Linked DNA regions of Styela clava. The protein of the gene in region 1 purifies or fractionates together with the protein of each later gene. This does not show direct contact. Links are inferred from orthologs where the notes say so. Each region holds a gene or a part of one and is shown on either strand. Other genes may lie near its edges. The genes, in order: iron-sulfur cluster assembly 2 homolog, mitochondrial-like; iron-sulfur cluster assembly factor IBA57, mitochondrial-like.

Evidence for each region.
Region 2: the proteins of iron-sulfur cluster assembly 2 homolog, mitochondrial-like (region 1) and iron-sulfur cluster assembly factor IBA57, mitochondrial-like purify together in Homo sapiens (co-immunoprecipitation; 4 studies listed by BioGRID and IntAct, with this or other methods). This does not show direct contact. The link is inferred for Styela clava from reciprocal best matches to the Homo sapiens genes ISCA2 and IBA57.

The regions. Positions count from the first base shown.
Region 1 is NC_135257.1:17,403,173-17,420,060, forward strand, and holds iron-sulfur cluster assembly 2 homolog, mitochondrial-like, read left to right. Parts: upstream 1-8,747; 5' UTR 8,748-8,854; coding exon 8,855-9,304; 3' UTR 9,305-10,165; downstream 10,166-16,888. Other genes in the region: serine/threonine-protein kinase ULK3-like, read left to right, coding at 540-643; uncharacterized protein LOC120345518, read right to left, coding at 10,830-12,146; tRNA N6-adenosine threonylcarbamoyltransferase, mitochondrial-like, read right to left, coding at 15,571-15,661. UniProt on the Homo sapiens protein: Involved in the maturation of mitochondrial 4Fe-4S proteins functioning late in the iron-sulfur cluster assembly pathway. May be involved in the binding of an intermediate of Fe/S cluster assembly.
Region 2 is NC_135258.1:10,860,022-10,876,501, forward strand, and holds iron-sulfur cluster assembly factor IBA57, mitochondrial-like, read right to left. Parts: upstream 6,592-16,480; 5' UTR 6,560-6,591; coding exon 5,519-6,559; 3' UTR 5,176-5,518; downstream 1-5,175. Other genes in the region: translation initiation factor eIF2 assembly protein-like, read right to left, coding at 1,653-1,733, 2,320-2,465, 2,568-2,697, 3,056-3,084, 3,335-3,533, 4,001-4,110, 4,610-4,754, 5,025-5,175 and 1 more; ubiquitin carboxyl-terminal hydrolase 44-like, read left to right, coding at 10,075-10,215, 10,290-10,516, 11,893-12,049, 13,070-13,227, 13,963-14,108, 14,660-15,254, 15,664-15,960, 16,466-16,480. UniProt on the Homo sapiens protein: Mitochondrial protein involved in the maturation of mitochondrial [4Fe-4S]-proteins in the late stage of the iron-sulfur cluster assembly pathway. Operates in cooperation with ISCA2 in the maturation of [4Fe-4S] proteins.

The DNA.
Region 1 (16,888 bases):
TTTAATTTGGTTGTGGCAGCATCAGGCAGGCCAGATTGAATTACCCAACGGGCCGGTCCATAGTTTGCCTTGTTTAGTTGTAAAAATATGTTTTGCACGATTTTTAATCTTTCTGTTACAGAATGCATTGTGCAGTAGTACATGTAACAACAACACAAATCGCCTTCACTGTGTCAAAGGAGCCGCCATCACTCGTTAATTCTTATCACTCTTATTAAAGCAAATTTACATATATATTAATGTCTTTATCGTATTTTTTGTTCTATTTGTGCAGATAATTTTATGCGATTCATGCCTAATTCAATATTAATTTTATGTTGTGATATATCATAGTATTATTTTATCTTAAGAATCTTTTTACCATGCCATGAAAAGGAATTTCAATGGTTTTGTTTGAGAACTTGCATTTGTTTAAAAAAGTCCAAATGCCTCTGAGCCTAATTTATGCATTGTTTTATGTTTCACTTTTATTGATCGATTTTATTGAATTTTTGATATTTGATGCATTTAGTCAGTGTTGGTGTTATTTTTAATCGCAGCGAGGTTCAACCATTGGACAACGTTCTTTGTCATCTTCGTTGCCATTTTGTTCGGTGTTGTGTTAAAATTAGAAGATATCTGGATGATGATCTCTACTAGATGATATTATTATCCAAACTGGACTGATAACATCAACCAATTCAGACACATGCAGTATTTGAATATATTTTTGTGCAATTTTAGTCTTTTTATCTATTGTTGTGCGCTTAATGGTAATAAGATCGTCTGTTTTGCTTTTCACAGAATTTGACTTATATCGGGGCACTACAGTTGTAGTTGGCGACTTTAAACTTTTCCGAATCGAAATTTCAGGCTTCTATCGATCAACTTTTGAGTTGAAATATTTCCTACTGAGCTAGCAAGCGATGAAACTTTCCTATGAAGTTTTGCTATAATGAAGGTGGTATTGCAATTTTTAATCGATTTTTGAATTGCTCGAATTCTGAAGAAATAGATAACATCCGTCATTGTGCACAAAATGACAACATACAGGACAATAAATTCAGGATAGTTGCCAAGGTTTGTGACAACAATATACCGTAATATATAATCGATCTTCAATTGTGCCACTGAATATAAGGTAAGAAAAACACTGAGATTAGACAGCATTTGTGAGTACGTTGAAAGGTGCTGGAATGTGCGAGTTTTGTGTCAAATTTCCAAGAAAAGTATTTGTAGGGATTCACCAAAGTGTAAATAGCACGGAAAACCTATATTCTGAACCTTGGGATTTGAGAATATTTGTCATTATCACTTCCCAAAATAGCGAAGGTTTTTGCTCAAATAAGTCACCGTTCAGGACGATCCATTTCAATAAATCCATTTTTTCAACTTTTGTTTTTTTGAAAATCGGTATTGCAGTGAGGCACACTATCATACGTTATTTTCGACACCCTTTTTCTTTATTCGTGAACGATTCACTGTTCCTTCCTACGAACACCTCTAGATAGATAAAATTAGGCTTTTCAGTATAGCGTGAATAATTCCGGTGGTGAAGTAATTCTGTGGGGAGATTTCTCAGGCTCAAAATTGACCACTATTGTATGCGGTAGCTTTTATTGTGTGCTCGGATTACCGCAGAGCGATCAAAATATCATGGCGTTGCTAGCAACAACCCTTGGAGATAGGCAATGTACTTCATTTTTGGGTCAAGACCTTGTGCATCCTTCGATGACTTTGAATCGCCTTTCAGATTTGTGTGTTTTTCGTTGACATTTTAGGGATAAGTTCTAAACTACATCAACAACGTTCAACAACATGTTCTTAATTGCTACAATGTTTTCAAATGGCTAAAACATTATCACGGGGGAGAGGAAAGCCGATAACACGGCTTAATCATATGATGAACCACGGCCTCCCGTCCCGTTACCAGACTATAGCTACAGGGGTGGTAGCACAAAAGTCATATTGGGGGTGTCAAAATAGGGCTGACGAAATAGGGTCGTCGAGTCAAGTTAGGGGTGGCGAAATACGGTCGGTGCGTGTCAGATTGGGGGTGACGAAATACGGTCGCTGCGTGGTGTCAGGTAAGGGGTGACGAAATACGGTCGCTGCGAAGAAATCCTAAAGATTTGATTTTCGCATGTCAGAATAGTAGCATCACGTTTTGAACTGGACATATATTTATACCAAACATAGCGTATATTCCGGTAATTTTATGAAAAGTATATATGTAGTATCATAGTTAAAAGTGGTTTTGTAGTTCAACTAAATTCGCTAAATAATTGAACAATTATCTTTTTACTTTTCAATATAGCGTATAAATGTAACATATTTTAAAGAGGAAGCTTTCGAGAATCGCTTCTTGGAAAAGTTTATTTTCCTCGAGATGACGTTGACATTAATCGATTTAGATAAAACACAAAACCAATTCAAAAGATTTTACGTCTGAATTGTTGAAATATCGAAGGATATGCGTTGTGTTTGATATTACGTGCTGCTACTGTTCTACTATGATGAAATGGAATCTATGAGGGTTTTTCTTTTCTTCCAATGTGTCATAATACTGCGCTTATAAAAAGTTTTCGAGATATAGCCATTCCAAAAACGATATATTGAAAATTTTGAAGAGTCTACGGGAAGGCGTGAATTTTTTTTATTATTTCAAAGTAAGCTAGCCGCAACTTATTCCAACTTTCAAAACCGTGCTGCTACTGTTCTGCTATAAACAAATGGAATATAGAAGGGCTCTCCTCTTCTCCTAATGTTGCCTTTATTTGAAATTTTTGAGAAATCGCTGTTTGAAGAAGACCTATTTTCACCATCGAAAATTTTTGAATGAATCCGCAAGAAGGCGTAAATTGTTCTACTATTACACTGTAATTTACGCAAATTACAACAACTTGTTAGACGTAGAACACGGAATTTGGACAATAGTATTAGAAAACATTTACTCGGGTATTTAGTAAATTTGAGTTAAACCACAAAACCCCATTGGAATATTTTTCGAATTGTAAAAAATTCGAAGATTATACGCTGTGTTTGGGATTATATACAGCCATATCAAACCGTGCTGCTACTGTTCCGCTATGATTAAATGGAATCTAGAAGGGTTCTCCTTTTTTCTAATATTTCGTAATGTTGGCTTCATTGTAGGTTTTCAAGAAATCGACCAACCAAAACTGTAATTATTTAAAATAAAAAATAAAATCCACGAGAAGCCGTATAATGTTTATAGTTATTTTATACCATTTCCAACTTATTCCATGTGTATTAGACGTCTCTGTTCGGTGTATTAGACGTAAAAAGGTAATTGTTCAATTATTTATTAAATTTATTCAAAATACAAAACCACTTTTACCTACGATAAATACATATTTTTCATAAAATTATCGGAATATACACTATGTTTTTGGTAATATATATGGCCAGTTAAAACGTGCTACTACTATTCTGCCATGATGAATTCGAATCTACAAGATTTCCTTTTTTTATAATGCTGGCTTTATAGTAGGTTTTCAAAAAATCGCTCATTCAAAACTGTAATTTTTCTACATTTTTAAAGAATTCACGAGGTAGCGTAAAATGTTTTTTATTTTATATTCTCCGATACTTGTTTTAAATGTATTAGACGTTCAGTATCAAAGTAAAAAGATACCTGTTCAATTTTTCAGTAAATTTAGTTACATAATTTATTTAAACTATGATACATGTATATTTTTCATTAAATTATTTGAATATGCGCTATGTTTGGCATTCTATATGACCATGTTGAACCATGATGCTGTTCTGTCATCATAATACATCGAATCTATAGAGTTTCCCTTTTTCTTTAAATATGTCGTAATGTTGGCTTTATTAGAGGTCATCGAGAAATACCTGCCTAAAAACGAGTCATTAGATCAATTGTAATCAATCATTATCATAATACTTGTTTTACAGTTTATTTATTGCTACTGTTGCTTGTCTATGCGAACTACAGGGTTGTCGCTATAAAAGCAGAAAATTCATCAAACATTTAATTTTTACAAAGAATGACTTTAATGAAATTATTAAAGGCATATGCTATATTACATTCATGGATGCTAAAAATGTCGTCTGTGCAGAGCAGTATCTTAGTCTAAGAAATTAGTAAGAATGCATTTTATCCTTGATCTCATTCGAGCTTGCAAATTTCTGCTTTTCTAGCGACCACCCTGTATATTTCAAATGTGGCATCCAATGATATCCAGCGAATCTAGAATTCAACAAACTAATTTAAAAGGTTCCACCGAATAGCACATAGCCGTATAATTATCATTTCATATTTACATAAACATTTAAAAGATTCTCCGTAACATTTCGAGTGCAATTTTCGGATTGGACTCATTTCTTTCAAAACCTTTTGCTCATTTCGACTTTGTACATTCTTAGATGCATCAGATGGAATATATACGAATGGGTATGGGTGGGACTAAGGGTGGCACTAAGGCAGGGTCGACCAACCCATGGCCTGTGTGACCCGTGTGTGATCACATGTGACCCGCTGAAGGTTTCCGAGTGGCCCGCGCGATATTATTCGAATCCCAATGTTTTTCATAAATCTGAGCCATTATTGAAACCTCTAATAAAAAGTTATTCCTCGTCGTTTAAACGCGCGAGAAGCACCGCCCAGCTATCGAAAGCTATTTTTATGTCTCTTTGTGGGCGTAGTTGCTGGAGAGAGATGTTTGAATTTATTTTTATCGTATGCCATGTATTTCAATCTGATTCCCTGTCTTTTTTCTGCGAAGCTAAAAGAGGCAGTTTTCATGACCTCAATATTCGACAGTAGTTACTTGTGCGAGCAAGTTTTTTCACAGATGATCCATGTCGAATCCCCCTGAGATCACTAATTTCGCTAATGAAAAATTCGCTCTGCATTGCTACCTCGTCCATCGCACCGAATATTGACAAACTTATTGGATGAAAGCGGTGTCATACTTGACATTGAAATATATATGCGTAGTAAAAACTTTTGACTTTACTGTATCTTCGTATTTTCATTGTGCTTATAATTTTGGTTTGCGGGTTTTGTTTGGTTTTCATTAATCTGCAGTCGGCGTAGTAAAAACTAGAACATAACCACCATGTCAAGTGGCCCGCGCGATCATTCGTGAACTAAATGTGTCCCTTCGGCCAAAAAGGTTGGACCACCCTGCACTAAAGAATGCGTTTCACTTACTTAACATCTTCTGAATAGCGTTTCATCTCTTAAAGACATTCTCTTAGAATTCGGTTTCTAACTAAAAGAATGAAAAACCAGTGTCAATTACATTCTAACATGGGTATTTTTACTGATATTTTACATGATGCTTGTAGACCTTATTCATACAAAAACATTTAAGCTTAATTTTGATATGATTACTTTTTTTATACCTACTTTGTTGCTCCGAACTTTAACACTCGAACAACTTGACTATTGCAGTGACGTTTTAATGCCCCCATATAGACGTTACTTCGAGTCATTCACCATTTACATATTTTAAGTAACCAATGACATACACTCACATGAAAACCTTATTTTATTATTTTAGTCATCAATCAAAAATGTCAAATTCGTTAATATCATAATTGAACAAGCAAGTAATTTGTCTGAATTTATATCTAGGTATATTTAATTATTGCTTATAGCATCCCAAACGCTTGCCAACTAAATTATTCTTCCATTAAAAGTTATTGATGGTCTCGGACAAACCTACAATTTATCACATCTAAAGCTCTTGTTATTCAAGTTATAAATATTGAGTGGTACTGGTAACTGATCTTGATGTCCACACGATCGTATTGATACCAGTTGCTGTACAGTCTATACCGAGATTTTGTTGCTTACAATTATATTTTGTCGTTTTATTGTTTTCTGTTTGACAAAACAAATAAACTTTCCGCTTAAAATATGATAAATCTTTTACTATTTCGAGATGTTCAAGACTTCAAGAGCAAAACGTCATAATATATCAAACATACCTTCACATTAAAAATGTTAGTCAAATTAATAATCGAAAAAATTTGAAACAAACTAAGAATTATTTACAATGTTTAGTTAAATTTAATTAGCTGATTTTGATTTAATTTAAATTTGGCATACGACTCGATCCCTCTGCATAGAGAGATTTCGTTAATTTTAGTCCCCCTATGCAGAGTGATCCCAGTCGTACGTCAAATTTAAATTGAATCACGATCACTTTGCACGATGACATAAATCATGTTTTTTTCATGTCATTTTTATGCATAATTAAATAAAATATAATAATAGAAATAGGAAAAAAATTGTTTGACACTATTTGAGGACACGGAAATTTTCTTAAAAAAATTCAACCAACTGTAAAATATTCTGTTATTCGTTTTTCATATCTTGTTTTGAAGCTCCCGACGAACACAAACGTATTTCAGGCAACATTGTACAACAAGATAATAAATATGCAGATGTATTTCATAACGTTGGCCTCCGAACTATGCCTCCGTTTTTGATTTTTATTGAATGTTACATCTAGGACTCGAAGTTCCGAGAGATTGTTCCTTTGAGCGTTGACTGTTTTTACAATACGGCGTGCTCTTTTCCAAAATTTTGCTCCGTGATCGGTTCCTCATTCATGCAATAAAACACCAGATGCATGCACCATTTCATAAATGAAGGTTTGTCATCGCCGATTTCATAAATAATTTCTATTTAATTCTATATTCCCTAGCGTCACTACCGGTATACTCTCACATCTTTATTTAGGTTGATAGTAATTAACAGAGGCTCAATTGCCACAATAAACATATAAATACTCGGCGAATTTCTGATTCTTGATTTCATCCAGCTCGCTGTTTTACGGTAACTTGACACGCTGAGTGATATTTTGCCATCTACATTCTGACACGCCTCGACCGTATTTCGTCACCCCTAACTTGACTCGACGACCCTATTTCGTCACCGCCAATTTGACACGCAATGACCGCATTTCGTCAGCCCTATTTTGACACCCCCAATATGACTACTATTTAAAACTAATTTCAACTATCATTTATATTTATTTTTCCTAAAATTACCAAAAAAATACGTCATGTTTGGTATTATATATGGCCAGTACAAAACGTGCTGCTACTATTCTGACATAATGAAATCGAATCTATGAGAGTACTTCTTTTACCCCAATTTGTCGTTATGCTGGCGGTTTTCGTGAAATTGCCCATCCAAAACTGTAATATTTCGAAATTTCCCAAAGAATCCACGAGGGGGCGTAAAATGTTTTTACCTATTTTATTCTCTCCGATACCCGATTTAAATATATTAGACGTTTATTATCGTGTATTAGAATCTAAAAAAAGATAATTGTTCAATTATTTAGTGAGTTTAGTGGAAGTATAAAACCAATTTTAACCATGATTTATATATATTTTAACTATGATTTATATATATTTTCTCTAAAATTACCAAAAAATGCACTATGTTTGGTATTATAAATGACCAGTTCAAAACGTGCTTCTACTATTCTGTCATCATGAAATCGAATCTATAAGGTTTCTTCTTTTCCCCCAATATGTCGTTATGCTGGCTTTATTGGAGGTTTTCGGGAAATCGCCCATTCAAAACTGTAACATTTCGAAATTTCCCAAAGAATCCACGAGGGGCGTAAAATGTTTTTACCTATTTTATTTTCTCCGATACCCGATTTAAATGTATTAGACGTTTATTATCGTGTATTAAAAACTAAAAAAGATAATAGTTTGATTATTTAGTGGAAATACAAAACCAATTTTAACTATGATTTATATATATTATTCCTAAAATTAACGAAAAATACGCTATGTTTGGTATTATATATGGCCAGTTCAAAACGTGCTGCTACTATTCTCTCATGATGAATTCGAATCTATGAGGTTTCTTCTTTTCTCCCAATATGTCTTTTTTCTGGCTTTATTGGAAGTTTTCGAGAAATACCTGCCCCAAATCGAGTCAATATTGAAATTCAGTCAATTTTAAAGAACCCTTTAATACAGCTTGGAATTTGAAATTGGGACATTTACAGTTGTTTTAGTGTGTTAATATATATTAAAAAAATGAATAGTGTGATGACTAATTGTTTTACCTTAATTGCTATCGGTAAATCACTCAAAATATACACTTCCCAGCACAAAATGATTGGGAACATTTGATTTTACGTGTAGGAATTTTCTGCGATTCTGTCAGCTCCAATTTCGTGACTTTCTGCTAACTTCACAGAGGTTTCGAGAGTATTGTATACAACAAACAATCACGCATATTTACGATTGTTTTTTCTTGTGTGAATGTGAATAGGGTAAGATTTTCGTATATATCCGATGGGTCTCTAAGATTGGACACCTGCAATCATGACACTCACTTTCGATCTGTATAGTCGAGGTAGCCCTTGTAATCATTCGACCGCAGGGACTTGCATGAAATCATAGGGTATAATACAACTAAATGGAAATGTGCCAAGAATGGTTGTATCAGTTAAGGTTAAGATAGTTTATTTTGAACATATAAAGTATCTGTTTTTTTTATTGCAGTATCATGGTATTCAAAACTCAGTGCTGCAAGAGTACCGGTACGGTATTAAGATTGAGCACAAACAGATGTGTTTAGGATGTTATAATATATTCTGTATATTTGTGCATCAAATGTAGTATTTTTAAAAGTAGTGTAAACCAAATATCTGAGAGGCGATTAAAATTACAAGACAGGAACCACCTATCTGTCACCACTCTTGACTATTTATCATTCTTGTATAGTTTTAAATCTGTAAATAAATAATTTACCATTTCTAGTGCTGGTGAACTTGATGATATACCTTGGTTAAGTCAAGATAAAAACAACTTTATAAAAGTCTCGAATATACTCAAATGCACCATGTCTACTGTTACGACAGTTGGGAGAATTTTCACACGTTTGATGCCATCTATATCTCATATTTCATCATCACACACAGTGTGTCGATGTCTGTCTCAAAATGCTCAAACAAAGCCTTTGAACAATGCTGACCTTATTCTGACAGAATCTTGTGTTGAACACCTAAAGAAATTTTCTAAACAAGGAGAGTTTCTCAGAGTATCAGTGGAAGGTGGTGGGTGCTCTGGATTCTCATATAAATTTGATCTCGATACAACGAAAGAAGCAGATGACAGAACGTTTACAAGAGATGGAGTTGAAGTTGTAACAGACTCTGATTCTCTTGATCTTATTAAGGGATCTAAAATTGACTACCAAACTGAAATTATAAAATCTGCATTCAGAGTTATTGATAACCCACAGTCGGGTACTAGCTGCTCCTGCGGAGTTTCATTTTCAGTTGATTTATAGTATTTTATATTGTTTAATGCTTCATACAACTATTGAATGTATTCATGTTATAATTTTTTTAAATCATATTTACTGTGACTCCCCTATTATGAGTAAAATTGCGTTTTGTACAGGCTCAAAGTTTGAGTCTTATAGTTGCACCCTCGTGTTGAGTAGACCAATAGAAGCTTCCTACCCAGAAAGTTCAGGTTAAATGGTCTTAAGTGCCAAATCTCAACCTGCCTTTGTTGGGTTTCTTGAAAAACTGTTCGCTATGCCAACCATTATCTGATAACACACAAAAATGTGTCATAGCTGTATTATTTATTTTTTGTTCACTAAAGGTAATACACACAAATCAAAGTATTCACACGAAATCTGCATGATTTGGTTCAATGTCACCGTAACGATTTCACTTCTTGATGACTATTCTCACAATTTTGTAAATCAGTTCCATTGTACTTCTTAAATAAAGACGTTTTTCTCTTAAGCAATTACTGGTGTAAATTCAGAACTTGGATATATATTATTATACCATAAATGTTTGTTAATAGCTTCTGCATTTTTGTTTTTACAAGATTTACAGAAATATATTATAAAGAGTTTCGGAATCAATTTCATTTGGCAGGTTTGAAAATATACACCTTTATTTATAATATTGTTGAGAAAAGAATATCAGACACAGCATGCATAAACCAATGTCCTCTAGGTGTATCAGTTTAAATTTGTAACTTTTGAATGGAAGTCTCAAATATTACAATTTTTTTAATTCATGATGTTTCCATTGTTCCAATTTGTTATTCAGCCCCTCCATCATGAAGGTGCATTAAAGAAAGGGCATTTGAATATCAACTTTGGAATAGAATGCGATAGAATAATTTTGTTTGCCTATTTTATATCAAGTTGTGTAAAGGGACTGAAACCTATGGGCAGGGGGAGTCCTCGAACTCTAATCGGAATAAAATTGTGGCCCTTTGTACACTTCGGGAGTACCGAATTTGCTAACCAACCACTTTAGTGTCCATACACAGGTGATAAGGCCAAGTGTAGGTAACACTCACAATAGTTAATCAAGGAATGTTTTGGCAGATTAAAACTCCCATGCAGTCTGGACAGCATCATTTTGTGGCGGTGGCAAGGCCTATGAATTTATCAAGCTGCGGGTAGGGCAATATACAGATTTTACCCATCATCACAAAACTTTCTAACAATTGTACACGGTTCTATATATTTTGTACAAAGCATCAACGCTTCATTTCTAATATCAGGTAAGAAAAGAATAAATATAGAATGACAATGAGTGCAATGCATGATTAAAATAAAAACACTACAGATAAAAGGTAAAAACTAGCGAAATTAGATTTCAGTAAAATGACGGGATGATCATGGGAATCAACTGTACGTATAATAAGACATAACCTTTTATTCAATGTAGAGATATTGAAATTTGTATACTGCTGTATTGTTTCAATGATTTAGTTTATTTCGTTCATATATATTGTACTTAGGAATGTTTTTGGTAAGGAAAAGTGGTCTCTACTGTATTTCATGGGATTAAAGCTCGAGTATCAGAATCTGATACGTCTGCATATTCTTCTTCATCAGTTTCCTGAATTGTTTCTCCCCAACCGCCATCTCTGGGACTGTTTCGAGGTGATGCACCTCGATATAATGCATCCATAGTCCTTCTTCTGACAGCTATGGCCCCAGCAATACTTAATCTTCGCATGACGTCCAGATCAGTTTCGTCAAGTATCTCTTCCTGTATTAATTCTTCAATCACATCTTCCAAAGTTATAATCCCTATGGCCATATCAGCATCATCACTACTTGTGACACAACACATGTGGCTTCTTCCCATTTGAAACTGGTTAAGAAGATCAAATAACGGAGCTGTTTCAACTATTCTTGGTAAATCCCTTTTCTCCTTTTGAAACACTTCCCGTATAGGTATTTTCTCATCTGGATCAAGCTTTATTAATCGTTTTACAAGTAAAATTCCAAGAAGATGATTCTTGTCTCCTTCATAAACAGGGATTCGTGAATGTCCAGTATTGAGTATCTCTTCCATTGTCTGTTCATCCATTACTCCATCTATATTCAAAGCGAACAACTTTTCAATTGGTGTATAAGCTTGTCGAGCTAATTTGTCTCTCATCGACAACGCACCCTTAATTATCATCACTTCATCTTTCGACAGTGGGTCCTCATTTTCTGCATCAAGCTGTTGATGAAGATCTACCAGAATACTTAATTCTGCTCTTCTGAAAAATGTTGAATGATCACCACCGAGTATACAATCCAGGAATTTAGATAATGGCCATGATATTGGTAAAGTGATAAGCATTAGGAATTTCACCACGGGTGAAAGTGCTGATCCAATTGCAAGACCAAATCTTGTGCATAAGGCTTGAGGAAGTACTTCTCCAAAAATTAAAACTGCTGTAACGGATACAACTATTGCGGTGACAGGGTCAGAAATACGATCTAAGAATAATGGCATGCTTTCCACAGCGGCAGCATTTGTTAAAAGCAATGTTACAAGTAATAAATGATGTCGCTTCACAAGTGGTATAATTTTTTTAGCATATTTTCTTTCTTTTGGCTTCCCACCTGAAGCTAAAACATTTAAACTTAGCATGTCCAAAGAAAGTAAACCCATTGTCAAACCGCTTACTAATCCAGCGATGAGAACCAAACCAACATAAATCCCCAAATATATCCAAAACCATTTGTCTGTATAAGTTAGCGGATCTTCTTCTTCGACATATATAATCCCACTGCAATTGAGTTTGTGTCCTTCTACAGTACAACTGATGGTTTTTCCATCCTCAAATGTTTTTAATAAAATTTCATTTAGCATTTTGGCTAGACTGTTAACATATGATAACACAACGTGTTAAAAATTTAACGTTATCTATAGTTTCACATTATTTGGGGCTAAAATTCGCAGTATGTTAAGTTATAGATAGACTATATATTATATACAGATATGCCTATATATAAGAAAAATTTAAGTTTAGCCTATGGCATGGAATTAATTTGATTCCCTTTTTTCATTGATTTAGCTTTATTTGACCTACAAAAATAGACATCGAACACAGATTATTTCAATGCACTGATGCTTAGAAGTTGCTGTTGGAAAAATCAGTCACAGACTGACTGTATTGCTATGCAGCAATAAGGATTAAACAGTCTTATTAACTTCTGTGTCTACTTAAACAGGAGTAAGTACTTACGTCAGTGCGTTATGACTACATCTACATAACTGACTTCTGCCTTCTACTTTAGTGTAAAATTTTTATTTTATTTAATTATATTTTCTTCCCACCAAAAAATATAACCGGTATAGGGTCTGGAAATATAAAAAAAAACGGCCGAGATAAAGTAGGTCACACGCCCGCATTGCTGAATCAAAAACGATGTCATTTCTCACGGACGTTTGCCCTTTGACCACCAACTTGCAAGACAGCATAATTTTCGTCGGGAGTGACGCAATGTGTACCGGTATCTTCTCTTGACCTTTGGTTTGAACCCCATCGAATTTTTTGCACTCAAGAGGTTCACAACCAGGCTCTATTTACCCAACGCCCCGCAATGTTTACAAGCGAGGGTCATACTTCACTCAGCCTATTTTTGTTTGCCAATACCCTGGCTACAAATTGATTTAACATTGAATCTACAAGATGTACAGTACATATGAATCTTTTTGCTAAATTCTAGTTGTTTGAATTCATATTGTGGTTAGGACTGCGCTTAAAAATCATATCACGACCTAGTTAACACTTCATTGTTAAGAATACTGTCCATCTGCTGAGGCTTCGTACTTGAGATAATGACAACCAAAACGTGGGCTACCTTATAGGCTTCACGATAGAATGACTTGACTTTTACAGCATACTGATGTAGAAAGAAGTAATAATATGCGAGTTTTCCTTCGGCATCTATTGTGCATATTCGTGACAAGTGTTGCCTGCGGCGTCTGACTGATTACACATAAGCGCCCGTGGGAGGAAACGCGGGGGCAACACACGTAATAGAAGATGGCACAATGACTCGGCGGTGAAAGTTAGGTAGGCATGAGTTTTCGGCATTCGCTTCAGAAACGTGGGCTTAATATAGGTCATGCGCTTGTTTCATGCATGCAACGTAGTCCATACCTGTGTTTCCCAACCCCTTTGTACGGGAAGCTTGAATTAATTTGTGTCCAAAATTTTTATTAACTGAAGTGATTAGATATTTTCAACTTTCCCTCGCAAATTAATGAATTATTCGCAACACGACATTCAAAAGTAGCACACAAACGAACAATAGAGAAGCCCGAGTAAGCTGGCAATACTGATAACAAAAAAGGCGTCGCCTTTACTACGCATAATGATACAAACCCCTTGCATATCGGTGGTTGTTCTTATTTAAGCTGAAGGCGTGAATAAACGTCATATTAGCAAGGTGAGGCAAAAACACATCTTAAATTCTTACCTGTTATTGCTGCAGTCGTCACATAGTTTAACTAAATTTATGTTGTTTAATGACTGACATTTTGATTTCATTAAACAAGCGATTTTTTTGAATTTTATGAAAATGTTTGATGACGGGTAAACACCGTGGCAGACAGAATTAATCAACTAAAAACACTACTTTTGAATACAAGATCTTGTTTTTTGAATTACTAACACGCGCTGTTGCTGATGCTAAGATAATACTAACATTCATCTCGCAAAAAAGAGTTGATAACCGTCGCACAAATTGAAATTCTCTGCTCTGCCGCTCAACTCACGCTGACCACGTGTAAAAAAGGACAAAATAAAATAGGAAAAAACGCGCACTAAAGAAAAATAGGACGAGAAGACAAACCACCCATCACATGTAATTTATTACACAATATTCGACTACTCTTTCTAGCTCCCAGTAAACTGTGTATAAGTTTCGGTCCATGCAAAACACCACATATGGACGAGCATATCGACGTACATTATCGATGACCCAATTACCGAACCGAAATACCCCACATGACGGCAAATGTGTGTCAAGTATTGTTCTATCTAGGTCAGGAAAAGGCTCTTATATATATTTATAATATTACATATGTACAATATATAATCTAGTACAAAATTCACGATACCGCGTATGTCGCTCAACAGCGTGGCATCACACGATTGGTAGAAGTAGAGCATTTTACAAAGGAATATTGTATAGGTATCGATCGCCTTTGATCAGGCACAAAAAATGTTCCAGATGCGAAAACTGTCATTATAAATATGAGAAAAAAATTATCACTTTCTTCAAAGTAGTGCAGATTAAATCACACATAGGACACGCGTATAGCGAGGATACTTTAGGAAAACTGAATTGACCAAATTCCTGTCTAAACCAGCTCAAGCTACAAGTTGATTGATATTTCACTCTGTCTTGTTTAGGAGCGACGAAATTTTATATTTTTTCCATGGTAAAAGATGAATAGTAGTCAAGTTTATAATCTTTTTCATTTCTGTACCAAAATATCATTGTACAACTAGAATAAAAAATAGTCAAGACTGCTTTCGATTTATTTCGGAGACAATTTAGGATGAACTTACTTTCAATAAAACCGGATGCAAGACATTTTGAGAGAATTCATCACCATCAAATTGTTTTATTACTCTTAAATATGACAATTCATGCCATTGGATAGAAATGATAAAATTCATAGGACATCAGCAACCATTCTGAGTTTTGAGACAATATTTCTCATTAGGTCCTTATGTAAGCAAGCAGTTATACAGAGTGTAAAGTCCGTTCCTAATATATCTTAACCAGGTTTGTTGTTTTTTTAATCAGTACTTGTTCAATTATTTTCACTAAGATTTTATGGACATCCTATACAACAGATCACAAGTCACGCATTCTCAATTCCAAACAATATAAATCACAGAACATTTACAATTTTTTTGTTTCTATCAGTTGGCAAACCCATTTGTTTGTTCCAAAACTGGCTGTTGCTTAACTGTATGATCTTCTGCTTGAAAAAGCTCTTCGACTTCGATTACTCCTCATGAGTGATTTTTAAGCATTTCAAAAGAGAATCAGGCAGAGATGAGGAAGAAGAGTTGACCTTTTGCCTTAATCACTTAGACCTACATGTTTATTACCTTTAATAAAAGGCATGACGTACACACTAACCATCACAAAGCAGCATATTTTTCAAGTAAATGCGCTCGATTTTTGTTCCCTGATCATTTGGCGCCAGAGGAACGAAAAGTTTGGCAACCGCTGTCTTATCAGATTTCACTTAACTGATTGCAGGTGATTCAAATGTGACGTTTCCAACTTACTTTGACTTTTGGCAACTTTATGTTTTCCTTGATAATCTCATTTCCAATATAATCACCTAGTGGAGATCTGAGTAAAATAGAATATAATAGAATTTTTTTTTAAAGAGAGGTTACACTACTAAATTTTGAAGCTGAATTCTGCAGCTTAATAGAAAAAATCTATTGCAAGGTGTGGCTTTTGCAGAACTATGTATGAGTTCTCGCTCAAATAGCCATGACTAAATAATACCAATAAAAACCTGAATACATGAAAACATAATTTGAAAGTATGAGATAATCAATAATTTCAAGTATCTAGGTCTGTGCTCTTCAACCTTTTTGTTATTGCGGAACCCCTGATATCATTTTTCGTTTTTTATGGAACCCCAATTAACAAAAATAAAACACGAAATACTCGTAACACGAAATATTTGTAATTCAAATATTTCTACTTGAACAACGAAACAGAGAGAAGGTAACAAGCGTGAAATTCAATGACTAGGTTGTTCTTGCATTTCCTTTGCAATCTTCTGAATCGTGGCTCTGCGGCGCTCACAGCAATTCTCATACTCATGTCTACACTCTTTTAAACAACTTCTTTTTTGTTTTTAATAGTTGTTAAAGCAAAAAATGCTGATTTACACAAATAGGTATTGGGAAATTAACACAGAAGTTTTAATGCTTCTTTTGCAATGCTGTACCAGTAGTATTTAATAATTGATGTAATCTGGACTACAATTTGGCAATAGTTAGGCATGTCTTTGGTGAATAAAAAGGTTTAGCCCACCTCTTCATGCACTCAACTTTGGCTGCGCAATTTGGCATTTGACTCCAATTATCATCAGCTTGGCGAAATCATTTTTTTTTGTCCCTGTATTAAATACTGTTCACTCTTGTTTGGGAATTTTTATAAAAATATTAAAATGATGTGGCAAACAATTCATATTATTTTTTTTACATTTCATCTTTTATTCTAATTTCTTTTTTATGTGTTTATTTTTATTTTTTTTGTTTACCATATAATTTATCAAAAGCTTCTCTCTTTTTTTTTTTTTAATTTTATTAATGCCCTATGGTTGTGTGTGTGTGTGTGTGTGTGTGAATGATTTGATTCAATAGTTTTAGGTGAGTGAACACGTACCACTCCTTTTTGGCAATACCTTCCATCTTATATTCTGTACGTTTTAAACCTTATCCAAGGTTTTGTTTACTCTCCTGATTTTATAATCAGTTTTTATTTATTGGTTTTTACCAACCATTTTATCGCCTTTTTGCTGATTATGGAGTCGAAATAAACTTATCTTATCTTATCTAT
Region 2 (16,480 bases), on another chromosome or scaffold:
TATCAATCGACCGAGAACATGGCGGTTTTTCTCGACGTTTTGGTTGTGCCGACGAATAGAAACCGCGCGTCCTTCATCCAACTGTGCTGCAATATTAACATTTCCGAATGTTCGGTATTTTACTGCATTGTCCAGATGCTCCATAGAAGATTGATGATCCGTGGCACGCTCGGAAAGATGTTTAAGATCTCTAAAACCAAATTTACACCAACGTGAGTCACGGGCGGTAGCAAAAAGTAGGCAATAAAAACAAAAAAGTGCATTTTTGTCCTCGCTGTAACACAACCATTCGTGTTTTTTATATCAAGTTTCTGCGCAGAATGTACGCCGACGCTATGGGATTGTTCCAGTGAACAATTTTTTGGTTGATAAGGCCCAAGACGTTGTACCTCCAATTTTTGTTCCAGCGGCAGCTGCGAAAACGGAGTGCGAAGTAGTGCATCAACCTTATTCATTATGAGGTCTAAGGCTAAGAAATGCGAAGTCGGAAAGAAGTGAGGAGCTCAAAAGGAATGTGGAAAATCGAAAGCAAATGGACTAAAGGTCTCTAACTGATTCAAATAGCGAAACAAGCGACAAAAACGAAGGCGAGGAAACTATCAACTCTTCAAGCAACCAACGAACGAGAAGGAATGCGTGAATATGTCAACACGTTGTTGTAAGAAACGTCGGCATAGTGTCGTCATAATTTCGGGGCTAGCCCCGATGATTTAGTAAAAGAAACAGAAAACAAACGCGGCGAGTGGAAGATAAAAGAGAGAATACGATATACAATGAGCAACCGGGGCAAAATCGGCGTCGCCCCGTCGACGTTCGGCGAAGGCTTTGCGAGCGAAAAATGAACCATGTCGGGAGAATATGGCTAGTGTAGACAGTCTGTGCAACCGATATTGAGGTATTTTTCGAATATTTTTTTTCGGCCCTATTGACGCGCCGCCACTGGTAAAATCGATAGCATAATACCTATACACAACTCTAGTTCTATGCAAACTTATTGGAACAGCCTGCATCTTAACACAGTCAATTAAGTAGGATAGGATTTACATATCCTGGAAGAGAGGAAAGTCGACAAGACGGCTTAATCATATGGCGAACCTCGGCATCTCGTCCGGTTGCCAAACCATCTCTGTTATGGGATTAGTCAGTCAGTTATTTGTTTTAGGAAGCATGGACTGGGGTCAAACTTCTTCAGTCAATTGTGATTGAGCAAAGAAGTTCAATTCTTCCCAAGTAAAAAGTAAATTTCACGCAACTAGTTTGATACTCGCCAGAAGATGACAGTCCTAACAAGCGGTGAAAAATGCATTGGGCGTACAACACGCATTGAGCAGAGGTACAACACTGGGTATACAGTAAAGTCAACAGCAAGATTTATACTTTGAGCAAACTCAACCATATCGATATCTGCATATTTTTATTGAATTCTATCGCGGAATCTTGTTCAGTCTCCTGACATTTTGTTCTATATCCGTTTACAAAAGAAGTATTACAAAATTTTATTATGCGCACAAAAATTTAATTCGAACTATTTTGGCCTATCACATTGCCATGCCATGTAGGCAACATCCAACAGAAGCACCAGATCAATTGATCATGCCAATTTCACATCGGCTTTCCATAACACCTAATCATCATTGGAATTGGCTATCTGTTCAAGTGTTTGAGTTGGAAGCAGGTAACTGCCAAGGTTCATCATCATCAGATGATGAATCGTCGTTTTCATTTTGAATTTTCTGGAAAATATTTGAATTCCACAGTGAAAGAAAGAAATGAAATCTAGCTGATACAGATCACATTAAATACCCTTTTTCAGAAAAAAGACTATACCAGGTGTTAGCATTCCTAACTAGGCTAACTACTGTACAATAAACTTAGGTAGTAATATTGAATAATGCTGCATGAGACATTCACAAATTCATTCTGTTATATTCCTGGCCAAAACACCCATAATTTGTAAAACAAATGTGAACTGCTTGTCTGAGAAATTCTGGGTTCAGTCATAAAAACATTACAGCATAAAATTTGTTAAAAGTTTAATTTAACCTTTGAACCACAAAGCTATAGCTGCTTTGATTTTTATCACAGTATCCTTGCCACTAGTGCAATATGGGTGCACCTACACAAAGGCATAGAGCAGAAACGGTACTCCTGAAGTATGCGCATCAAGATGTCGCACAACCTGAACCCTAAACTGGTACACAACCGGAGTTCAGGTTGTGCGCCATCTTGGTGGGCATACTTCAGGAAGTCCGCAGAAACAGTAGTTAGGAACACACCACCACATTCAATCACTGCTGAGTAAATTCAAAATTAGTTTACCATTCTTAAAAAATCAACTAGTTTTGTTGCGTCTTCACCGCGACTTAAATCTAGGAAATCTTGTGGCATTCTATAACTCAGCGTTTCACTTGGTTGCATTGTTGCATCTCTCTTAGCAAATCTGAACATTCCAATGGGTTCACCATCTAAAAATAAAACAATGTTTTTTCTGACTAAACTGTTCGATTTTATTTATGTGCACATGACCTTGTATCCAGCAAATTCTTATGAAAAATACAATAATATACCTGGTGTAATAATGGGACAATCTTCTTCAGTTAATTGTGATTGCACAAAAGAGTTCAATTCTTCCCATGTAAACAGTAATGAATCTGTCATTGAACCCCAAGGATTAAAATCAATTATCCAGAATTTTCCCTGAAACAAGAAAAATGTTGTTTGTAGGTCATTAAGTGAGCACATTCGACAGTTTACTATGAAACAATAAAATGGGTCTGGTTCATTACTGAGAAAATAACAGCAAAACATAGAAAGCAATTGCAAACACAACTAGAGTTAGTAAATGAATGAATTTAACCTAAATTCTTAATCAACCTAAGTCTAGTCATCAAGGTAAAAAGCATAAGCTATATGTCCGCCATCTTGGTTCACATACTTCGGGAATACCATATTTCCTATATTACATCATGATCATCTAATTTACCAATTCAGAAATCCGAAACTGAAAAATATATTTTCTAAGAACAATGATCTAGTTAAATCTATTAATACTCACATCTCTCTTCTTGTAGATGTCAACAACATCTAAAAAAAATTGGGTTATTCAGTACTTTTGAATCATTAAAATAACACAGGTACTAGAGAGAATAGTAATGTAAAATTTTGCCAATGGTTATGGCATATTGGCATTCTCTAATCCTTCATGAGATTCAGATTTGTAGCACTCACACAAAGTGATCATTGGTTTAATAATGATTGTCAAGTCTGTAACATAATAAATCATTTTTAGACACTTTATATTTCATTCAATCATTTTCTTTTACAAGATACTCACAATTAGAATTATTAAATTTATGTTGAATTTTTTCTTGAAAAAATCTGCAAATTTCTACAGGTAAAGACTGTTGTTGGCTTTCAACATATTCATAATATTGTTGATGATGTCTCTGACACGCAGCAATGAGTTTGTGGTTTCGTACAAAACATCTGAATTCCATTCCAGGTACTAAGTTTGCCCATTTCCTCAAAACCAACTGAAAATATTTAATAAATCTGATAAGAAAAAAGATACGGTTTTATTTTGGATCACATTTTCATAAATTTTATTTTGTATTGTTCCATCTGACCAAAGGCAGACTTCCTCAGACAAACAGTTTACAATAATGATAAAAAAAAAAGAACAATTATAGGATGCATTATACATGCATGATATTTATGACAATATTTGCTGATATCAATATTCCGATGCTTGGAAATTGCTGATTTGATGCTGATGCTGAAATTGTTAATCTAATTTAATAATCAGATTATTAAAATTTGACATCCTTGCAGTGGGAACATGATTTATGTCAATATCATGTAATATAAATCTCAATAAAATATTCTAATTTAAATTGAATAAAATTCCAGAAAACATACAATTCGGGTGTGAACATCCCTTCTGGCGGAAAGAACGACATATATATAATTTTGAACAAATTATAAAAGATTAAAATCTTACTTCTTTCTGGAATTGTGGATCTGGTATTGAATCATCAGTACATAGTTTAAATGGAGATGTCAAATCGTAAGTGATGAAGTCGGAACTTTTCATAAGTAAAATGATGTCACCTGATAAAACAATAAATATAGAAAAGAATTCAATTTCACGAAGCAGTATTTTGAACTCTAATTTCTGATATTTGGACACACTTTAAAAAATATATTGCTGTACGAAGATTGTTTATAATTATTAAACAAATGAGCAAGGTGATTCGAGTGCATCATAGGAATAAATCGAACAGATTCTAATTGATAGTTCCTCTTTGATGTAATAATATTTGTGTCGGCATGATACGCAATCAGTGAAAAGTTTGAAAATATTTTCAACAACAATTAACATTAACTGCCCAAGTTTTGGCATCAGGCATTCTGTAACAAGCAGAAGCAAAAATGCTAGTAGTAAGCCTCATCTATGTTGGCAATAATGGCTAAGGGTCAATCAGGACCATTGTCCTCAGACAGAATGTAACAAGGAAGTAGCCAAACCTAGTTTCAAGTTTTTCCAGACATAGTGGTGTATTCAATAACAACCCTATTTCATGAAAAGGGTATAAAAACATAAAGTCACCTGGAGTGTTACACTTCAAACTATTATTCGATGTTATCCAAATAGCATCTTTGGGTGAACTCCAATTCAATTTTGGAAATGATTTCCAATTTAATTTCTCTAAAACTTCTTTGATTTGTTCCAGAAGAGCAGTGAATTGAGGTGCCTGTAAACAACAATTGTCTTCTTCAATTGCTTCTCCATAAGTATATAAACCACAATCCAATATTTCCAAGCAAAAATATTGCAATCCCAGTACTGGTATATTTTGAAATAGGTATATAATATATACATATACCAGAATTTTTTTGTAATAAATCTTCTGAATTAGTAAGTTAGGATAATTATGAATCCATTTTTTCAAATTATGACTGAATTTGGCGTCCCTACAAAGGCAAGAATATCACAGATTCGAAATCTTAGAAAATCTTCAAACCTCATTTTCATTTTGTGTTTCGTCTTCATCTGACCAATTTTCATTATCATCGAAATTACTTTGTATACTTAAATCAGCACCTTTTGGTAATATCAATGGACCATCTTTTTGCAAATATTCAACAAAATCATCCGGCAATGGTATAATAAAGCTAAAAAACAAAAATCCACAAATGACAGCCATCGATTATTAAACACATTTGAAGTGAACAATTACAGTTCTTCAACATATTCAGTATTAAGAGTTCAATAGCCTGAAAATTATGAATTTCAATCTAATAGTTAAATTATATTAGGAAATTTAGTGTTATTTACTGATATATGTCAAAAACTAATTTACATTGCATCTAGTATAAATCAAATTCACTATATAATTTAAAAGAATCCTCGAAAAATAAATCAAAGAACTGTTGAATTCAAATTAATACGAGAGATTAAAAAGCGATAAATGTAAGCAAAAAATAGATGAATATTTGTTAAATCGAAATAAAAAGATCATATGTTTTCCTCTGTTGCTGGGCCACAAACTCCGTCAGAAAATTCAGTGCCATCTTCAGATGGCCACCACATTGGAATATGACATCGAAATTTTAGCTGACCATCTTTTGAAGAAAGTGTCTCTCCTGAGTAGTTCAGTCTCACTAATGCAAGACCTACTTTACCATCAGAATGCATTGATCGAAACTTTCCTGCACTTTTTCTCTTCTCTGTGTATATTGAAGACCCAGATTCAATAGATCCTTCTCCTTCTATGCTCACAGGAACAAGTCGTTTTCTAATGACACCGGTGAATTTGGTACGAGCTGTGAGCTCTTGACCAATATAACATCCTTTATGAAAGCTGACACCATTCATAAAATCAAGATTGCATTCCAAGGGCAGACAAGTTCCAGGTGGCAAATCTAACGGACCCTCTGGAACACCAATGTAATGTCTTTTATGATGATATGCATTAATATCCATGTTAATTAATGCAGAGTCACTTTCTGACATATTTTCAACCACCAGTCTATGCCCGAGCATTGGGACCCTCGGGTCAATGGCAGAAGTGACTACATTGCTGAACTGTGGAGAAATATGAAAAGAATTTCCAGACATTGCCTGCACCACCGATAGATTATCTCTGGGTGTAATACTCAGTTTTTTTCTCAGTTTATATAATTTTAAAATTTTAATGATACTTTCGGAATTTGACGACTCACATTCAAGAAGGACTTTGTTTTCTGTGTCGTGTTGTTGATGATATAACATAATATCATGCATAATGCGTCCATGTTGGTTTAAAATCATTGCATACATGCATTTCATTTCAGGGAGAAGTTCAACGTCATTGGTTATAATCCCTTGTAAAAAATTGGTAACATCCCGTCCTTCGAGTTCAAGTAAACTCCGATGTTTCAAATGAGCATATCTGACATTATCCTGATCCTTGTCAACAATATGCATATGCCTTGCACTAGACAGCATTTTTGATTTCGAACAGAACCGCGGAAAGATACGTCGTAATAGTGTAACTCTTGACATAGCCAAAGACATTTTAAATAAAATAAGATTTCATCAACTCCTACCTTTTTATTGTGATGTCTGAAAATTGTGAATACCATTTTGAGAACATGCAATTCATCACATGTTCTTTTGTTAATGTTGTCATATTGTAGTATTGTTGAGTTTCAAATTTTGAGGAAGTTTAAGTATACCTTAATACCAGTCAATCAATAATTTTTCTAAAAAAAGTTTTGTAATCTCATGTTTATATTGACTTCAACAATCCATATTTAAAAAAAAAGATATGACTTTATTGGCAAAACTAATATATAATAAAATACAGAATATGAAAGTTCTTCATGACCACTAACAGACTACTAGAATTGCATGAACAAGAGGACAAGAGTAAAACTGTAAAATGAGACAGGCATGGTGAAAATAGATACCTGGATCTAAAGAAGCGAGTGCCTTGACGATTACGCCCCTATCCAGTTATCTGTAAATATAGTAAAGATAGTTGGGCACAATATGTCTATCTCTCAGTCCTCCATGCAGACGCAGTGATGTAAGAAAGCAATCTGGTATTTTTGTATTTCATTATTTGTCAAACAAGTATTACTGTATTAACATTCTTGAATATCTGTCTGAGCGAAACAAGTGTCTGAGTGGCCTCACTAACTTTACAGCTTTAATTGTTACGTCAATCTGTCAATATTAACTCATTGCCGATAGGCCATTAGGTATTACTGCATTACGGAAAGAAACATGGAAATTGATGCTCGTGGAAACATCCATAGCTTCCTTCACCATCAGATCCTAATTCAGTACGGTACCGGTAGGCTACCGTATTTTCACGCTCCTGGCAATGCAAACAAAAACTCAGTCAAAAGGAAAAATTTGTCTCAATTATTGAGTTTATATCTGAGTTATGCAAGTAAAATAAAAAATTAACATAAGCTGCGGCAGACGGGTCCAAGGACACTTGCAACAACATCGTGATCTTTAAATTTTGTGTCTTACCCGACATCTCTTTCAATTCCAAATATAGGCCATCCATACAAAGGTACATATGGTCTTTGGTGCGCACGATGCTAAGCGTTACGGTATCATAGCGCCTGTGATAATCATACACGGCTCGCAGCTGGACTCTTCGCAGTCTGTAGTGGTGGTAGCAAAATAGTCAAATTAGGGATGGCCGAATACGGTCACTGGGCGTCAAATTGGAGATGGAAACTGCTCGGTAACACCTACATGAAGTCTATACACCTGAAACAAATACATGACCAACTTGAGCCACCGTGTGAGAACTGAGAAGATGGTGGTTCTACTCTACACCAAATGCTTATTGTCTGCTACACGGAGATAAATATGGGAACCTATCCATTTAGTTATGGATCGAATCTTATATTCTTAATCGGAAAAAAACACGTCTGCTTCAGTGAGTCATTATTACATAGTGTTGAGCATTGCGAATGCAGAATATATCAGGACTGATGCGATTACTGGTACTTGATTTTATGGAAATCATGTGCGAAAACACGGATTCGTTTTTTCCGAAAGCAATGTATGCGAGAAAAGAACTTCAAAGTAGCGTTTAGTTCTCGTATACCCCCAAAACATTCCGGGACTCTCGTTGGTTCATATTCCACCGAAAAAGAACATCTGTAATAAGACTAATTATGAGAAATGAAAGATCAATTTCATTGTTATGTCATAAACGTTTTAATGGCATTGCTGCTAACTACATACAGGTATATTACAGTAGTTGACTTGTCGGCCGGTTATTATCAGTTTTCATTATGGAAATGTTGGTAAGTTTTGTTTTCATTAATTCGTGATTTGGTGACTCACCGAAAAAGCATGCTTCAATTGCAGTGAGCGTAAGTGGATGTAAATTCGTATTTCTTACTTATGACTAACTGCTTGCATCATTTTGTCATTTCCACCCCTTCTCAAAATGCCCGTTGGACCTTTTTATTCGGGAAGCACCTCGGCGAGAAAATTATTACGCAACAAACCCTTTGAGAAACCAAGCACCGCCCTGGCAAGTTTGCTCATCGTCAAACATTTATCACGTGCCCACGCTCATCCACGTTTGTCTGGTAATTTATTCTCTCCTACAAACGAGAGAAGAGAAAAAATGAAAGATAATGGGACTACTGGAGCATGACAGGTGACGTCACCATACAGAGTTATTTTTGCTGGAGATGGTTGGGCGAAGGAAGTCGTTGCCCGCGTTCAATGCTTTGTTCATTGCAGTTAGAGCGGAATTTCGGTCATTTGCGTAATGTTGTTAATGAATCTATATGTTAGATGTGAATGCCATGAATTTTGACAGATCGACTTGGTATACCTTACCCTGCAAGCCAGTTACTACTCCAGTACTCAGCTCAAAAATAGGCAAATCCAGCTGCAGAAGCGTGGTGACGTTGCTGTGATATCCTAGTATCCTGGTATTTAGATGTCATAAGTTGATACCCATGGTTCGTTTCGTGCTTGTAAAAATGCTGTAATCTTTATTGTTAAGTATAGTTTTTTTCAAATTAATATGGGTAGCCTATGTACCTGATTTAAAACTTACAAGTGCAATTAATTTCAGCAATACCCAAATCTGTAAATGCAGCCAGGTGTCAAAACATGCCATTTTTGAAGGTTCTATGGTACTAACCTAGTAATGAAATAGCCTAGCCTACTAACTGCTTAAAAATAAACAGAAGAACATTATTCTAAAACAGATAGCATCTTGTAGTTCAGTAGTTTGTTAGTCTTGTGTTATTGTATTGATAAGTTCTTCTTTGACCGCTTGAGGAATCAGATGTTGTTGGTTCTGTGGTTTGGGAAGTGGACAGCAGGATTTCCGTATTTGCCAAACATATTGTTCACATACGGCCATTTATATAAAATTGATGTTCTACATAAATTATAGAGTAATTTACATTACACAATCAGCACGGCTGTTGAAAAACTAAACTAAGATTTTCACATTGTTACGATAGATGTAAAACGAATTAGTTATAGAGGCATTTACTACTAAAATACGGCACACTAAACAGATCGAGAGACATTGTCTCGTTCCAAAGAATCCCATTTTGCGGATGAACAAACACTTCTCCTTTCGAGGACGTCTGGACATTGTTGTCCCTCAATATACGTTAAAATGAAATTGGGCAAAAAACTACAGAGAAGCGCAATCTAAAAACGTCATTGTTGAATTCCTCTGGAAAAAATAATAAGGAATCAGAAGGAAAAACTTTCTACCGTGGCATTCGAGAGTTTTTAGCAAAAACAGCAATTTTGATCATGCGACGGCCACGATTAATTTACATTATTATCGGGGCACACATGACGCCATATGGCACCTCTATCATTGTGTTAGACGGCCCTCGTTTGTGAGACAGATGGAGTGTTTGTTTTATTGAACCAAATGACGGGACATTCTTGGAATTCGGAAAGTGTGCTGTACTGTATTATTTTTATACTATGTTGAATGTTTTACTTCATTTTTTATATTGTGCAGCTGTTGAAACTTCTGACTAACTTAGTTGACGTCAAAACACAGATCTGTAATGAAAAACAACGCTAGCAGTGTTCGTATGCCATCACCACGTCAAAATGCCGATAAATCTTCCCCAAAACGAGGATCTAAATCTGATAATCAGAATTTGAAGTTGCAAGGTGGTTGCAAAGGTGCCAAGCCGTGCACAAAGGTACCTATAATTCCATGTATATTAATTCTATAATAATAACACGAACATATCTATAATTATTGAAATTTATTTAGGGTGGAGATACAATTGTTAAACAAGAAGAAAATTATCTGGCGAGATGTACAAATTTTCGGTTGACAACTGGTTATGAATTGAGCATTTGTAATTGTAAGCATATTCGAAAGATTCGAATTGGAGAACGACATTCGATTGTGAATCCTCAGCGATGGTTATGTGAAACATGCTTCACAACAGAATCTGTATGGGCGTGTCTAAGTTGCCCGAATGTAGCATGCGGCAGGTACGTATCTGAAGCCTACACTCTGTATGTTTTACTGTGATATGTTGTTATTTTTCGATATCCCTGTTGCGTCAATTAGTTTCAATAACACAAATTTTACTTCTGCAAATTCACAAGCTCACTCGCACATGATAGAAACTCACTCAAGAGTAGAGAGATATATTTCCTGTTTTGTGTCTTTGTACTCAGCACATTAATAAGGTCTTGTATCATCAATGTTTTTAGTCAATCCTATATACTTTTGAATAAATTATTAACTTATTGCTTTCGGACATAGATGGACCAGATATTAGCATTCCTAAATGATCAATCAACTGCATGAAAGCTCTAATTTTTTTTGCCATTTGAATTTATATACATTCATCATTTGTATATATTTATTTCATTAATTTGGTAAGTGAGATAAAATTTCTATTTGATAAAGGAATGTATTTCAAAATGATTGTATGTGAATGTGTTCATACAACTGGGTTCGAAATCAACAAATTTACAAATGTCAGACAATTGTATTTGTTCGATAATTCATCTGCTCGCGTCAGGAAATTATATCTGTCTTTGGAGCCCTCTTTTTCACTCATAATATGACATCAGAATTTTCCGTTAGTTTTGGCCAGTTGTGACTAAGCTTTAAGAAAGTTCTCCAATACTGTAATTGCTAAGCTGGCTATTACCAAATATTAGTTTGTTATACTAAATCAAGTTTGGGCCAGACATAAGATATCAAATCATGAAAATATAAGGATGAACTTTCACCTGGTATTAAATTGGTTATAAAACAAAAGGTCAATTTGTCCTATATTAAACGAGTGGTTATGCTCTAAAACAGTGGTTCTCAAGATTTTTGAGCCGAGCCCCCTTTTTAGAAAATCCCAAGTCTCATGCCCCACCTCAAAAATAACTAGCTAACAATAAGCTACGAATAACAGATAGTAAGGCGAAAGTATGTTTTATTTATAAAGCATGTTGGAAATACGTGTATACGTGTACGTGTATACATAATAAAGAAATGTTTGAGCACTACTGTCTAAAAAAAGGCTTTCTCAAACTTATTTAGTTCCATATAATATTAAATAGGCATATTGTTTTTTTATTCGACCTATTTATACACCTCTCTGGGCAAGGCTCTGTATAAGCATCCGATAGGTAAGAACCTATGATATTTTGGAAGGACCAGATTCCTTGCAATTCGTCATTGCCTATCCAATTTATTACAGTCTGAGTAAGGTGTCATACATAGGATTTGAACCCAAGATTTTTAATCAGTAATATTACTTCAGCATCTTTACCACTTGGCCATTGCGCCTATTGTATTTGTAACAAATAAACAAGAATACGTGGTACTGAATATATGTAATGTAAAAAATTTTGTTTTGCAGGTTTATAAAAGAACACGCCCTAACACATTTTCAAGAATCTGGTCATCCACTGGTTATCGATGTCAATGAACTGTATGTTTTCTGTTATAAATGTGATGATTATGTGCTTAATGATAATAATTCCAGTGACATCAAAGTCCTCAGAGAAACTCTTTTGGTAAGAAATTGGAAGGAGTAATGTCGTTAAGATAAATTTTAATTTAATGCTCTACCGGAAGATATTATATGAATTAATAAAATCAGAACGCAATTTCATATATGTACTATAGATAGAACGGATTCGTGATTGAATCTTTGTTGGAAATTTGTTTTAGTAAAATCTGCTAAACAAATTTTGTGATTTTGCCAGAGAAGAAGTAGAAAATTTTTTTATAGTATTGCAATTTGCAGACATGTTAAGTTTTTTTCCTTACGTTTCCAGATGTCAAACTAATTTTAATTTCACCTCATTTATTATTTTTGATTTGATGTGTTATGTAGTAAAATCATGAGACATGTCAGAATGTATTATATAAAATAATCTGAACAAGGCTTTCTATAAGCAACTCTGAAATGAAGGATAACTACTATGTTTCTGGTTTGGCATTACCTTACCAACTTATTACACCTTGGGGGAGGTGATTGCCATGGAATCTAAACTCAAGATTTGGGGCTCCCGAAGTATGCGAACCAAGATGGCGGACATCGGAATGTAATATGTGTACTAGGTTAGGGTTAGGCCATAATTTTATGTATAAATACTACGGGAGGCTCTTGACTAGTCTTCGAACTGATAATAGGACTAAAATAAGGAAAATTGGAAAAAATTATCGCCTAACCCTAACCTGTTGCCCATGTTACGTTCCGATGTCCGCCATCTTGGTTCGCATACTTCGGGAGCACCCAAGATTTTTATCTGCAATGCCAACATATTTCAGTCCAACCATCGCTTTGATACATAGACTTTTGAACCCACAAAACCCACCCGACCTGATTATATAATTTTATATGACAATGGCAAGTATTTGGCAGCAACTTTTCAGATAACTCTCTATAAAACGACATATAAACTTCACGATTATCAATATAATAAATTCAATTTAGATCGTGATTAGTAAATGAACTACCAAGTAATTTCGACCCACCCATATAAATTATTTAAATTCACGATCACCAACATTCATATATTCTCATCCAGGCCATTCGATACCAAAACTTCACTGGAACAACTCGCAGTGGTCATACTTTAAGGTCAGCAATGATCACTGAACAAGTTGATGTTGAAATGAGAAGACAAATGCAACAAGAACAATTAGACAGAGATGACAGACTTTTCACTGCTATTTGGCATTCTAGGTTGGTTGTTACTCTTTCGCCTTACCTCTGTTATCAAAAAGTCAATAATCAATGAAGTTAAGATATCCATCGTGTTCATTAGTAATACCAAATGAGTTAATAGTCAAGGAAGAAGTCTAGTTACCTTGGCACCAACACAGCCTATTTTAAGTTATTTGTGCAACAAGCTAGTAAATTTTCGGTTTTAGAACAGCAACATCATTCTACGTGTTATATGGTTAATCATATTACACCAATTATTTTTGCTATTTCAAAGACTATTCGAAAAATAACCTTAAACACTTATTACAATCAGTGTACTAAATTTCAAACAAAATTAGTATTTAAAGAGAAGATTATATAAGAGATTACTATTAAGAGAAGAGATATATTCCACATAATTACTTATCGATTTCAATCGGTAAGTATGTTGATAGGTATTTGTCTATCTGTTCGTCTGTTAGATGCACGCGATATCTCATGAAAGCGAGATTGAATCTGCTCCAGATTTTGCATGTGCATTCATCATATGTCGGACCAGAAGCCTATTGATTTTGGATGAATTATGTCGTATAATTAGCGAGTTATTAATTAGTGATGGGACACAAGGTGTCACTATGGAGTAAGAACGCTGTTTTGGGGGATCCCCTAACTTTCGATCGATAAGTCTTCGGTCTCTGACCGATATTCTCTTTTCGTTCTCATTGTATACAATTTTTTATTTCAAATTTTTTATGCATTATTCTTTTGTCTTAGGTTTGTTAGACAACGAAAAGCATTCCGACGATGGGTTCGATATATTCATTGGAAAAGAACAAAAACTGTGTTCCCATTAGAAAGTAGTGATGATGACACTGAAACTGAAAGCTCAGATATTGTAATGGAACCACCAGATCTCACAGGTAAAATAGTCTGTCCATTTTGATATGAACACTAATTAATTATTGACTTGAACTCACCATCTTTGGCTTGAAAAATTGCTTCTTTCAACAGTTTTCCATGTCGTAGTGACTTGAACTGGCCTGTAATGCTCCACCATAAATGTATACTGTTTGTCATTTCAGTTGTTCGTAACTTTTCTTGGAGAGGAGTCTCTTTTACTTTTGAATGAGTCCACTCGACTCCGATTTGAGTAAATCCAAAAAATTAGTAAAGCGGGTGGTATTGGTGGTATATAATGTTTTAGATAGTAACAGATTTTTTTATATTTGAGCTGAATCACAGGAGGGTTCATGTGACTGCTGTACGGTCCGTTACTGCTGTAAAGTTATGCACCGGGACTGATTGAAGGGGCTGTGATTTGCCATAATTTCCAAGCCTAAATAACTAACAAAGATTGTTATATCACATCTTTTTTTAACTGAAATAATAGAATGTTTTCGAAGTGGCATATTTCGCACAGTATTGAGCAATAGAAAATTACTTTGCTGTACTAAAATTAATTCATTTTTAGAATCATGCCAATCTGAACCGCTCATTTCTTTGCCGACTAAGGAATCCGATATCAAGGTGCTGTCTTCTTCACATCATATTGATAGTGATGATGAGAATAATTTACTTTTACCTGAAATCTCTGTAAATTCTGAATCGGATACAAAATCAGATACAACGGACACTGATGTTAGTGATTTTCCAAATATAAAATCTGACTTGCCTTTAATAGAAGAAGATATCCAAATGGATGTATCATTATCGAATATGACGGAATTATCTGAAATTACTGAAATATCGCTTACAAACTCGGATGTTATATCTTATTTGCCGCAGACTTTTTCTTCCAATCAAAGTACATCGCAGGTTATGAAATTACCCAGCGTCGATAATAATGAAGAATTTGCGATGTCCGATGCATCATCATGTCATTTGTCATCTAACGAGAGTTTACCTGGAGTAAATGAGACCGCAGATGTTATTGTTGATGTCATGCTAACTGATGATGTCATCAAAGATGATGTCACAAAAGAGGAAGAAAATTCTGATGTAACTGAAGTTCCTGTGATTCCTTTGAATATTTTATCGAGACCAAAAAGATCTAATGCGGCTGCAAGGTATTGTGTAGATCGTTTATATACTATTATTTTTTGCCGGTTTTTCCATGCATGAGTAAGCTTCAAGTCAATGTGTATATAAAGCAATATTGCTTTGAAAAATGTAAGAATAGTTTAAAAAGATAATTGCCACTGTAAAATTCCCTGTTTTGGAATACTCTGCACCTCCCAATTTAATTTTTATAAATTTGCAAAGATTTTTTCAAATTTTTCTGTTTATTTAATGTTGATTGCTCAATCAAGAATATATTCGAAAATACCCCTTTAAAATATATTCCCATTAGTAAGATATTCTATTTTGGCCATCTTTGACCTATTGACAAAAGAAAAGCACCTAAAAATTAAATCATTTTTCCTAATTATTCCCACTCAGTACCTTTGTGAAAAGAAATCGCATTTTTTTTTCCAGATACAAGGAAATTTTTGGCAGTTTAAATAGAACTTCAACAGTAAAAAGAGAAAGAAATATACCCTCGCAACCAAAGTTCGGTGAAGAAGGTTCTCCTGAACAAAGAAAAATGAGTCTCAGACCAAGACCGTCCGGTCGGCGCAGCGATCGAATAAAGAAAATTAACAAAAAGAAAGAGAGAGCATCAACGACATCTAAAAAGAAAGTTGTGCAAAGAAAACCGCAACAATCTGTAAAATTAATAAAACAAAGACATCCACCACCAAAACGGAAACGAATCGTTCCAAAGAAAACTAAGTATGCAACTTAGTAACTTATGTGAAAATAAATACCTTCATTATATGGAATAAATATTTTGTGTTATTTTTTGGATTGGATGATGTCTACTCTTTTTAGTCCAAACAATATCATGTAAGCAGCTGAGCAGACGCGGACCAAACCTGGCTCGACTGATGCTTCCACCACCAACCTAAAACCAAATTTTGACGTTCTATCAGAAAAATAGCTCAAGGAATTTTTTGAGATTGCGATTAAATTTAGTTTTGGCACGAAGCTTATTGTTTGTAACACTGTGAATATTGTTCATAAAATGTAACTTTTTAAGTCACACTCGCATCTGTACATGGCCCATCAGTCTTTGTGGGCAAATTTTTGGCCCCTGGTCTAAAAACCTTGCCCAAAGAGCTAGGCCATTGCAGTTACTACATGGGCATTCTCCCTGTTCAATTCAGTCTTGCATACAAGTGAGTTGAATTATGTTTCCATGCATTTTTAGCTTTTTCATGTATTTTCCTTTATTCAGGCCTCGACCAACAAA